Linked DNA regions of Neurospora crassa OR74A. The protein of the gene in region 1 interacts with the protein of each later gene in a pairwise test. Links are inferred from orthologs where the notes say so. Each region holds a gene or a part of one and is shown in the gene's direction. Other genes may lie near its edges.

Region 1 (3,135 bases):
ACTGGTCCTTGGATGTAAGCAGGTTGTCCTGGTTGGTGACCACAAGCAGCTTGGCCCTGTCATTATGAACAAGAAGGCCGCCAAGGCTGGCCTTAACCAGTCGCTCTTCGAGAGGTTGGTCAAGCTTCAGTTTACCCCCATTCGCTTGAAGGTCCAGTATCGTATGCATCCTTGCCTCTCTGAGTTCCCCTCCAATATGTTTTACGAAGGATCGTTGCAAAACGGCGTCACTGCCGCCGAGAGACTTCGCAAGGATGTTGATTTTCCCTGGCCGGTCCCTGAGACTCCCATGATGTTCTGGTCCAACTTGGGCAACGAGGAAATATCGGCCTCGGGCACATCGTACCTCAACCGGACTGAGGCTGCCAATGTCGAGAAGATTGTCACACGCTTCTTCAAGGCTGGTGTCAAGCCTGCTGACATCGGTGTCATTACGCCGTACGAGGGTCAGCGCAGCTACATTGTCAATACCATGCAGAACACTGGCACGTTCAAGAAGGAATCCTACAGGGAAGTTGAAGTCGCTTCCGTTGATGCCTTCCAGGGTCGAGAGAAGGATTTCATTGTGCTGTCCTGCGTTCGCTCCAACGAGAACCAAGGCATCGGTTTCCTTTCGGATCCCCGTCGTCTCAATGTCGCCCTCACCCGTGCCAAGTACGGTCTGGTGATTATTGGTAACCCCAAGGTTCTCTGCAAGCATGAGCTCTGGCACCACCTTCTCGTCCACTTCAAAGACAAGAAGTGTCTCGTCGAAGGTCCCCTCACAAACCTCCAGCCTTCCCTCTTGCAGTTTGGCAGACCTCGCCAGGCCTACCGGCCGCAACGCAGCCACACTCAACATGTTGCCAGCGGTCCCTCTAATGGCCGGTTCGCTGCTCCCTTGACTGCCGGCTCCGTCAGGGATTATGAGACTGGTTCTATGGTCTCGTACATCCCGGATGATGTCTCCTCCATCCACAGCTCCGCCCTGGGAGGTGCTGCTTTGAGCTCTGGTTACCCTGCCATGTTCTCGAACTTCCACCCTGAGGCGTGGGCTGGTTTGCCGTGTGCTGGTCCCAACGGACGCCCAGGCGCCAAGGGCCGTGGTCGTGCGACAGAGAGCATCGCAGGCGAGAGCGTCGCCAACAGCGAGTTCACTGATGCCACTTCCAGTGTCATCGGCGGCAAGGGTATCGGACAGGGCGGCGCGAGTCTCGGTGCTGGCCTTAGCGAGGCCATCGGATCAGCCCGCCCTACTTCTTACAGCCAGAGCGATCGCCTTAAGCAGTATGTCGAAAGCAATGGTCGTATGGGAGTCGGCAACGGATACCGCCGTTACGATGACGACGAGAAGAGCGTCAGCACTGCTTTTGCCAGTCAGATCGGGACAGGTTTCGATTGAGCCATTAGATCCTAGGCGTTGTTGGTCTCCCTCTTCCTCTCGTGGAAGCGCACGACACAATGCTTATAGTTCTCTTGAACCTAAACGGCGGTATAGCATATGGACCTATTATGTGTCACTTGGTGAGCACGACAGACTTATTCTGTTGACACGCTACCGATAGCCTTCGGGCTGGCGGGCAGAAGACAACTTACCCTTCTCCAGCTTGGATTCGCCCAACTGAAGCTGCAAGGAGTTGTTGCTGCTCTCTGAAAGCCAATCCTTCACATAGGCTTCTTCAAGGTGTGGATGATCAGCCTACATACCCTCTGCGCAATAGTCTCGTGCAAGCTGAACCCCAAGCATACGGGAACAAGGCATCTTCACACACCTTCGTCTAAGGTTGCACATCAAATCAGACGTGCATACGGACTCAAGCAACGGACGGGTATCCAAGGAGGGTTTTGTCATCGTTCGGATGTACGGAGCCGGATGAGGTCGACCCACACTTGGTATTGGGGGAAAAACGTTGGGTTAGCTGGCGGTCGAATTTGCATGGTTGCGGAAGCGCCTGGTCAAATGCGATCTACCCAGGAAGAAGTCACCACTCGATCTGTTGCTTCCGGGCAGGTGGAGAGTTGGATATCTTCTTTCGTGGTAGAATGATGACCGAATGAAACGGCAAAGCCTGCAAGTCAATCAACGCAGAGAGTGGTTGGTTTACACCGATACGCTCACTCCATCCAGTCTTAAGCTTTCACGTACCACCAGCCAGCCTGAGTTAGTCTTTTTTCACTTCGTTTTCAAGCGTGCTTCACTGGGACTCACTCGTCCAGGCTCACTCGTCCAGGCTCACTCAATCCCATACCCTCCTTAAAAGAGAAGTTGTCGGTTGATAAGCCTGGACAAATCCAGTGAGCACTGCGTTTGATAGTTAGTTGATATTCGTCCCTCTGGACTTCCTAACCAAAGTCACTCATTATTTTATGACCAGAGATGGGGTAGAGATAGTTTTCAAACAGAAAAGAGAGATGGGAGGAGTCTCAACATGGACAAGAAAGGAAAAACAAGAAAATCAAAAAAAAAGAAAGGCAAGAGAAAAAGAAAGAAACAGCGTTGGAAATTATCAGATAGAGAGAGGGTAACGCAAGAGGAGTAGGTGTGAACGGTCATAGCTATTCACATATACTTACACTGGGAATCTGGAAACGTATCATGGGTACCTACCTACTTATTCAGATAGCTTATTTGAACTTCGTTTCCCGCTGGTTTTAGTAATTTTCTCCGTGACACGAAGATGGGTGAATGTTGTGTATGACGGTTGTTGACCGAGTTGCCCAACCATTGTGAAGACTGAAAACCCTCTATCATGAGCTGACGATTTTTGTTCTTTCCAAGAACGTGGTATTATGTATATTACTACAAGTGATTCTTTACTCTAGAAGCTTATGTACTCTTGTTTTCGTACCTGCTTTACGTTTCTCTCTCCCTCTTTCTCTCTCTCTTTACTAGCCAATTGGTATCTCTGTTTTGCTTCCTCTTTGACCTTTGTATCATCCATCCCATCTCATCCCATCTCATGCAGCCACATATGCTGCTTGCATCATCCTCCTCTTCGGTGAATTATTGTGATTTTTTCTTCGTCAACTTTTTATATGGGGGTGGTCACAACATAAGGAACCGGCTCAATTAGCCGGACTTGAAAGAGCGTGTCCCCAGGACAGCTGTTGTCTTGTCTTTGGCGTGGCGGTCAATGCACCCACCCACCCACTTAC
Region 2 (3,751 bases), on another chromosome or scaffold:
TGCCAAGACCTGCAATGCCTAGAGGTAGCTGCCGTGCCCAAGCTCCTGCGTAAATGCCCGCTGCCCGCCCCTGACAGCTTCCGTCCGCGCGCGGCTTCTTATCTCGCATGTCCCATTATCTCATCCGCAAAACGCCTTCCTTCTACAGACCTCCTTCCAGCTTTCACTCCGAGCTACTGAAAAGATACTACCATTCCGATACCGGCAACCTTGTAGCACTTTAAACAAACCTGCCTTGAAAATGAGTTCCAAAACTCCTGATGACAAGCTTGAGCAGAAGAAGGTCAAGGATCCTCAAGCAGAGGAAGAAAATGATGAATCCAAGCAGGCCGATATCAAATTCTCACCTGAAGAAGAGGCTGCAAGTACCCACGACCAAAAGCAACAACAACAAAGACCCTCTTGATGCCCAAACCTCTGTGACTGACCGCCTCAGCAGGAATTGGTAGCTGAGTCCAACACACACAAAGCAGAGGCAAACGCCCTCTTCACCTCGGGCAAATACGATGCCGCCCTCAACAAATATGACGAAGCCATTGCTGTTTGTCCAAACTACCTGGACTACCCCTTGGCCGTCTTGCGCTCCAACGTGGCCGCCTGTCACCTCATGCTGGAAGCTTGGAAGGATGCCATCACGCACGCAACCAAAGCTCTGGACTTGCTTGACAAGCTAGAGCGGGAGGACAAGCTGGCTGCCGAGAAGGAAGAGAAGGAGAAGGAAGATGTCGAAGAGGAGATTGTCAGCGCTGGTGCAGCAAAGGCCGGACCCGCCGTTCCTGTCACGGAAACTGAAGCGCAGATTGCCCGCCAAAAGCGACTAGAGGATATTGCCAGGATACGGGCCAAAGCTCTGCTACGCCGGGCCCGGGCAAGGAGCGAGCTGGGTGGATGGTCCACCCTCGAGGGGGCTATCGAGGATTACAAGAAGCTATCTGCCATGACCAACCTTACGGCTACCGACCGAAAGCTCGTCCAGGCGCAACTCAGAGCACTGCCGCCCCGGGCCAAGGCTGCTCAGGAGAAGGAGACTGCTGAAATGTGGGGCAAGTTGAAGGACCTTGGGAATGGGTTGCTTAAGCCGTTTGGTCTTAGCACTGACCATTTCAAGATGGTGAAGGATGAGAAGACCGGTGGTTACAGCATGAATTTCCAGGGAGGTGGTGGCGAAGGCAAAAAGTAATGTTGTGAAAGTTAATGAGGGTCAGGGCTCTTGCGATGCCTACCAGCGTCGTGGTTGAGGATGAATGGCTTCTTGATAGTCCAGTCACCCAGCCATATGCACCTCTGACTGGGAAAGCTGATTTTCCAGTCACCTGAAAATATTATCGACCAGTAGTCAACACGAATCGACAGTTCAATGTCAACAGATCGACAAGGGGGGGAGATGATCAGGAGCTCGTACCCGACAGCTGCAATACAGCTGGCCGGAGCTAAAGCTCCATAAGTTTTGAGGCTGATTTATTGGTGTGGCAAAGCCGGCAGTAGAACGCCACAATTGTACGTACTGCTGCACTGGCTTGTGCTAATACCTCTAAGTACCCACGGTAGCCGATAGCCGATAACGAATTGCTTATCAATGCAGCGCGGGGCGATTTGGTGCTGGGCCCATCAAGAAATTTATTGACGACCGTCCCGTCAGCGCCTCCAACGTTCCCCCCCAGCGACTCGTTCTCGTCCTGGTCCATTCAAATTTCCAGTCGTCAACTTCTTTCTCATCCGCAGCAACTTCACTTGTGATTGCGACGGAACTCCCAGGTTTTCCTTTTCACGACATAGCGACTTTTGTTTGTTTTTACAATTGATACCCCGATTCATATCTTGTCGCAAACCACAACTTCATTAATCATGGATCTCGACGCTCCTATGGCCATGGCCCCGTTGATGGGCTCTGCCAGGACAGGTGCTACGTGAGTTTTGACCATGAAGACTGAAGGTTATCGAAGGCATGATTGCTGACACCACCAATAGCATTCTCTGCTGCAACTGCGGCGCTCCCATCGATGGCACATCCTCCGCCGGCGCTCTTTGCTACGACTGCATCAAGTCCACCGTCGATATCTCCCAGGGCATCCAGCGCGAGGCCACCCTCCACTTCTGCAAAGATTGCGACAGATGGCTCCTACCCCCCGCCAGCTGGGTCACAGCCGCCCCCGAATCGAGAGAGTTGTTGTCGCTATGCTTGAAGAAACTGAGGAATTTGGGCAAGGTCCGCATCACAGACGCCAGGTTCATTTGGACAGAACCCCATTCGCGAAGAGTCAAGGTTCAGGTTACGGTTCAGGATCAGGTGGCGGATGGTGTGTTGATGCAGCAAAGCTTCGAGGTCACTTACGTCGTCGCCAGCCAGCAGTGCAAGGACTGCGCCAAGTCATACACAGCCAACGTCTGGCGCGCCGCCGTACAGGTCCGCCAAAAGGTCACCCACAAGAGGACGTTCCTTTTCCTCGAACAGCTCATTCTCAGGCACCAGGCCCATCGCGACACAATCAACATCAAGGAAGAGAAGGACGGTATCGATTTCTACTTTGCCCAGAAGAACCAGGCCGAGGGATTCATCAGCTTCCTGAAGTCCGTCGTACCAGTTCTCACCAAGGAGTCGAGGCATCTTATTTCCGCGGATACACACACCGGCAACAAGTCGTACAAGTACAACTACTCCGTCGAAATCGTGCCTGTTTGCAGAGACGATTTGGTTGCCCTTCCTCTCAAACTCGCCAAGTCCATTGGCAACATTTCTCCCCTTGTCCTTTGCCACAGGATAGGAACATCTGTCAACCTTCTCGACCCCAACACCCTCCAGACCGCCGAAGTCAGCGCCGATATCTACTGGCGTGCTCCCTTCCATCCGCTTGCCGGCACTCCCGATCTTGTTGAGTTTATCGTTATGGACATCGAGTCCACAGGCGTACGAAAAGGAAAGTGGCTTCTCTCCGAGGTCCAGGTCGCTCGTGCCTCCGATCTCGGCGTGAACGACAACGTCTACTTCACTCGCACACATCTCGGCCAGCATCTCCACGCCGGTGACTCGGTGCTGGGTTACATGCTCGAGGGTACCAACTTCAACTCGGACGCGCTCGAGGCGATTGAGAGCTCCAAGGCGTACGGTTCCATGATCCCTGACGTTGTTCTCGTCAAGAAGCACTACCCGAACCGCCGCCGCAACAGAAAGAGAAACTGGAAGCTCAAGCGCATGGCCAAGGACGAGGGCGAGCTGCTGCCCAAGGCTTCGGACCAGGCCAAGATGGATGCCGAGTACGAGATGTTCTTGCGCGATGTCGAGGAGGACGAGGAGCTTCGTGCTGCTCTTGCTCTGTACAAGAACTCGCTCAAGACCAAGAGGGAGGCGGATGCCATGAGCATTGCCGATACCGACATGATGACGGAGGCTGAGGAGGATGGCCCCAAGATCAGCATGGACGAGCTCCTCGATGACTTTGAGGAAATGGAGATTCAGGATAAGGAGTAGGATGTGATCTTGATTGGAGTCTGATATGTGGATGTGAATGGCTTTGGGATTCGGGGTAAATCAAAATTCTGGGAGTTAGCTGTTCTTCAGGGTTTGCGTTTTTAAGGCATTTCATGAATAGATTCGGGAATGGGCTTGCCGTGTTGGCGCCCTCTGCATCCAACATTCTGTTGTCTTTATAGTTGTGAATGCATAGACGTGGTTGAAAGGATGCTACGACCGTCAAAGTACTAAATCAACGAAGATGTGCAACTTGTCATGTACGATGATCTTGGTCAGTCAAGG
Region 3 (3,751 bases), on another chromosome or scaffold:
AGGTGCGAACTAGCCTGTAATGAAAACATCCCAAAAGTGTCGGTATCTACCTACAACATCCTCAGCAACGTCCGCAAGTGGCCTAAATAATATCTACATACCTACCAGAAGCTATCGCATTCCCCGTTCCTGATGGTCGCTTGCGGTGCATTCCCCTGAGCACCTCAATGTTTCCGTCCGGCCAGGACCAAAAGATTGGCCGCGGGGGTAGGCGGCAGGGAAAGACATTAGGGTGCCCTCGGTGCCCCCACAGCTTCGTCGTCACCTGTATCCGCAGGTACCCCATTATTGCGGGCCGTGACGGTTCTAGCGTGGCCCTGTTAGTAAGGGACAAAAACCCCCTTGAGACGGGCGTCGTCAACTTCCAGGGGCACTACCTACCTCTACGACGACTTCAGTTCACATGTCGCATCCGTCAACGGAGGGGTATGTCTTGAGCTTCTTGATCCTTTTACCACGCTGAGAAGTGGCTGATTAGCTCATACTATGATACTTGGGTTAATATGATCTGCTGCCGGCCTGCTCCCTCCGCATTGCTCCTCCGATCGGAGTAGTTCTTCAAGATGGCGAAGAACACCGACTTGAGTGATGGCCATGATACCTCCCTCTCAAAAGAAACAACAGGGAAATACCAGGCCCCTGATATAATTCAAGTTCGACTGCATACTATGTACAGTAAAGTCACCTGTCAAGAAAACAGCCTTAAGATAGCCATGCCATGTTTGCCTCTGTCCATGTCCGCGCTTCCGCTTCACCTGCATCGGAATGGCGAATTCACATACTTAGAAGCACAGTCTAAACAGCTGCGTTTAGTCACGGATGTCACGGCAGCAAAATGGATGCCTGAGCTACTGTCCTTGCCCTTCAGCTTTCTTGCCAAAATCGATATCTCGAGCTTGAAATTTGGTTGTCGGCTTGGCGTTAAATGTTGACCATGAGGTTGCCGTCCCGTCCGGGTCTCATGTTGTAGCCTCCAGTTGATCACTGTTACGCATCACAACTAGCGGGCGGGTATCGCCGATTGGCTCATCGGATAAAACAACTTGCAAGACTGGAAGGATGGAATGGACATTCTTGCCGGCGGTTGAGGATCCCACAGCCCGGCAGGCAATGGGCCTCTGGTTGCCGCCCAACCGTGGCAATCACTCCCCCGGCCGCGGCCTTGGAAGTCCCATCGTCAGTCAACGAACGGCAAGACAGGAGGGTGGTGTGTCAAAGCGTCAGGCCTACCGCCGCCCGCCCACCTGTTGCCAGGCTCCATTGGCCCTCGGGGGCGATTGGTCCACAGCTCCCTGATCTGGCTTCTGAGTTGGAGTTGGCCTGACTTCATCCATCTGCGTCGGTCTCTTGTCGCCTTTTGCGCTGCCATCAAGCTACCACTCCGAGCAACCGCATCCACATCTTCACCGCGGCGCACCCAGTTGCGCTTCCGGTCGTTAGTTCACAGCCTTCTTTGCTTCTCTGTTTTAATATTTCCAAGCCGAGCGCTGAGTATTTGTTGCCGCCCTGACAAGCTCTGCTCCGCTCCTTTGCACGAGTCGCACCGCCGTCGACACGTCTCCTTTCCCTTCACGTCGCGCATCGCAGCATCATGGTGCTTGACCAAACCGATCATACCAACATCTTTACATATCGTTCTGTACGTTGTTCTTTGATTTCTCTACAGCGTGCTTGCAACCTCGGTATGGCAAGGTCATGGGATGAAAGTTGGGCTCCCATGTCCCAATTCTCCATCTTCCATGTCGTTGTTGTTGCCCCGCGCTTCAAGAGACAGCTCACCACCCCCAGCTAGGTGGAACATCCATCGAGTCGCCCCTCTGCTTGGCTCGGGCTGTTTGACCACTGGACCTTCAAGCCCTTCCTGTTTCCCCTTCCACCCAGAACTTCGTGAACCTGCGTCACGGCTGTTCCTTCTTTATACTTCTCGTCCCACTCACCAACCAGGGTCTCGTCTTTTGCTTTGCCCCTCATTTTCCTCTGTGCCCTTGCCAATCAGCCAAAGCTCAACATCGCACCCGGATTTGCGCCGCAACGATCTTTCTTCGCTCAACGTATACTGACCCTACAATAGTGATACCTCTGTAGAAATTTTCCATAAACCCAACAGGCATCGCCAATATGTCTTTCTTCAACTTCGACCAGTCTCGCCATAATACCGCCGCTCCCGGCTTCTCCCAGGCTCACGATCCCTTTGCCAGCCTAGCCAACCGGGACGAGGAAGCCGAAGAGATCGACTTCGAGGACACTTATGACGGCTTGGGTGACCAGCTGGATGAGACCGACGATGCCTTCAATGATGATACTTTTGGCGGCGATACTGGCGAGCCGGGTCCTGTAGGCAAAGACTTTGACTTCTTTGGCCACACCGCCAAGGTCGCGAACGTCATTGAAGAGGAAAATGTTCGTTTCAACCGCCAACAACCAGCTGCCAAGGCTCCCCAGCCTGTCGCGCAGCCATCGGCCTATACGCCCATCGCCGGACCCTCGTACAACTATTTCGCGCAGGCTCCAGTTAGACCTGCCAGGACCGGCTACGAAAAATACCACGAGCAGCCGATCGAGGATCTTCAGGTTGACGCTGCTCTCTGGGGTGTCGCACCCAAGAAGCAACCGCCGCCGCCTGCTCAACCTGCCGTCCCTAGCGCGCCGTCTGGGGGCCGCAAGATGCTGAGTCTTGAGGAGGTTGAGGCTCAGATGCGCGCCCAGGCTAAGGCGGCCACCCCATCTCCCGCTCCTCAGCATCAGCCCCATCAAATTCCACATGAACAGGCTTACCTCTACCAGCACCAAGCTCAGAACCAGCCGCAGGCTCACTTCCAAGCCGGTGTCGTTGAACCTCTGTACCATCAACCGCAGGGACATCCCATGACAATTCTTCAGCGGCCTCACTCGAAGCCTCCTACGCCAGCCCAGCCCTCTTCCCAACCGCCCGCTATTCAACAGCATCAGCAACCCGCTGTTCCTCAGCAGCCTACTCAGATCCTGCAGAACCCCAACCGTCTTTCAGGCGACGCGGCTAAGATCGGGCTGCCTGTTCACCCTACGCCTCCGTCCGGTCCTCAGTCCGCTCACCAGGGCCACAGGCAACAAGGCTCTCTTCCGCGACAGCCCCCTATGATTCTTCATCCTGCCCAGCTGGCTCAGCTCTCGGAGGAGGAAAAGGCTGCGTATCTTGAACAGGAAGCTAAGCGCGCCAAGCGCAACCACAAGATCTTCCAAATGTCTCGCGACAATGGTATCATGACGCCACAGGACAAGAATTTCATCACCCGGATCCAGCTTCAGCAGCTTGTCGCAGCCACTGGAAATCCCAATGAACACGGCACAGACGAGTCACTCGCCGAGGACTTTTACTATCAAGTCCATAGTCAGATCCAGGCTGGCCATCGCCAGCACCCCAGCCAGCCTCTGAACCAGTTCGCTCAGACTTATCTGTTTCAGACAGGAAGCCGTCAAGGAGGTATGCGCCGCCATAACAGGGGTCCTGAAAACCATATGCAGAGGATGGAACAACAGGTCCAGCGTGCTGTTGAGGCGGCCAAGAACAAGCCCAAGAATAAGCAGCTTGTTATTGAAGGTAGCTTGGGCAAGATTTCCTTCAGCAACGCCAAGACCCCGAAGCCGCTTCTCAACATCAAGCGTAACGACAGCGCCAGCGATGTGAAGAAGGCACCGCATCCTGTTAATGGCCGGGACAAGAAGGACGAACTGAGGGCCCTCGAGCTGGTATACACTACACTTATGAAGATGG

The links.
Region 2: the proteins of prd-6 (region 1) and NCU08663 interact in a two-hybrid assay, tested with the Saccharomyces cerevisiae proteins (2 studies listed by BioGRID). The link is inferred for Neurospora crassa OR74A from reciprocal best matches to the Saccharomyces cerevisiae genes NAM7 and NMD3.
Region 3: the proteins of prd-6 (region 1) and NCU06540 interact in a two-hybrid assay, tested with the Saccharomyces cerevisiae proteins (2 studies listed by BioGRID, with this or other methods). The link is inferred for Neurospora crassa OR74A from reciprocal best matches to the Saccharomyces cerevisiae genes NAM7 and PAT1.

The regions. Positions count from the first base shown.
Region 1 is NC_026505.1:5,327,030-5,330,164, reverse strand, and holds the end of prd-6 (ATP-dependent helicase NAM7), read left to right. Parts: coding exon 1-1,381; 3' UTR 1,382-2,628; downstream 2,629-3,135. UniProt on the Saccharomyces cerevisiae protein: RNA-dependent helicase required for nonsense-mediated decay (NMD) of aberrant mRNAs containing premature stop codons and modulates the expression level of normal mRNAs. Also capable of unwinding double-stranded DNA and translocating on single-stranded DNA.
Region 2 is NC_026504.1:4,180,189-4,183,939, forward strand, and holds the start of NCU08663 (60S ribosomal export protein NMD3), read left to right. Parts: upstream 1-1,578; 5' UTR 1,579-1,845; coding exon 1,846-1,907; intron 1,908-1,968; coding exon 1,969-3,466; 3' UTR 3,467-3,751. Other genes in the region: NCU08664 (tetratricopeptide repeat protein 1), read left to right, coding at 242-361, 440-1,180. UniProt on the Saccharomyces cerevisiae protein: Acts as an adapter for the XPO1/CRM1-mediated export of the 60S ribosomal subunit. Unlikely to play a significant role in nonsense-mediated mRNA decay (NMD).
Region 3 is NC_026504.1:1,578,430-1,582,180, reverse strand, and holds the start of NCU06540 (topisomerase II associated protein), read left to right. Parts: upstream 1-1,282; 5' UTR 1,283-1,639; intron 1,640-2,071; 5' UTR 2,072-2,118; coding exon 2,119-3,751. UniProt on the Saccharomyces cerevisiae protein: Activator of decapping that functions as a general and active mechanism of translational repression and required for P-body formation. First decay factor recruited to mRNA, at a time when the mRNA is still associated with translation factors.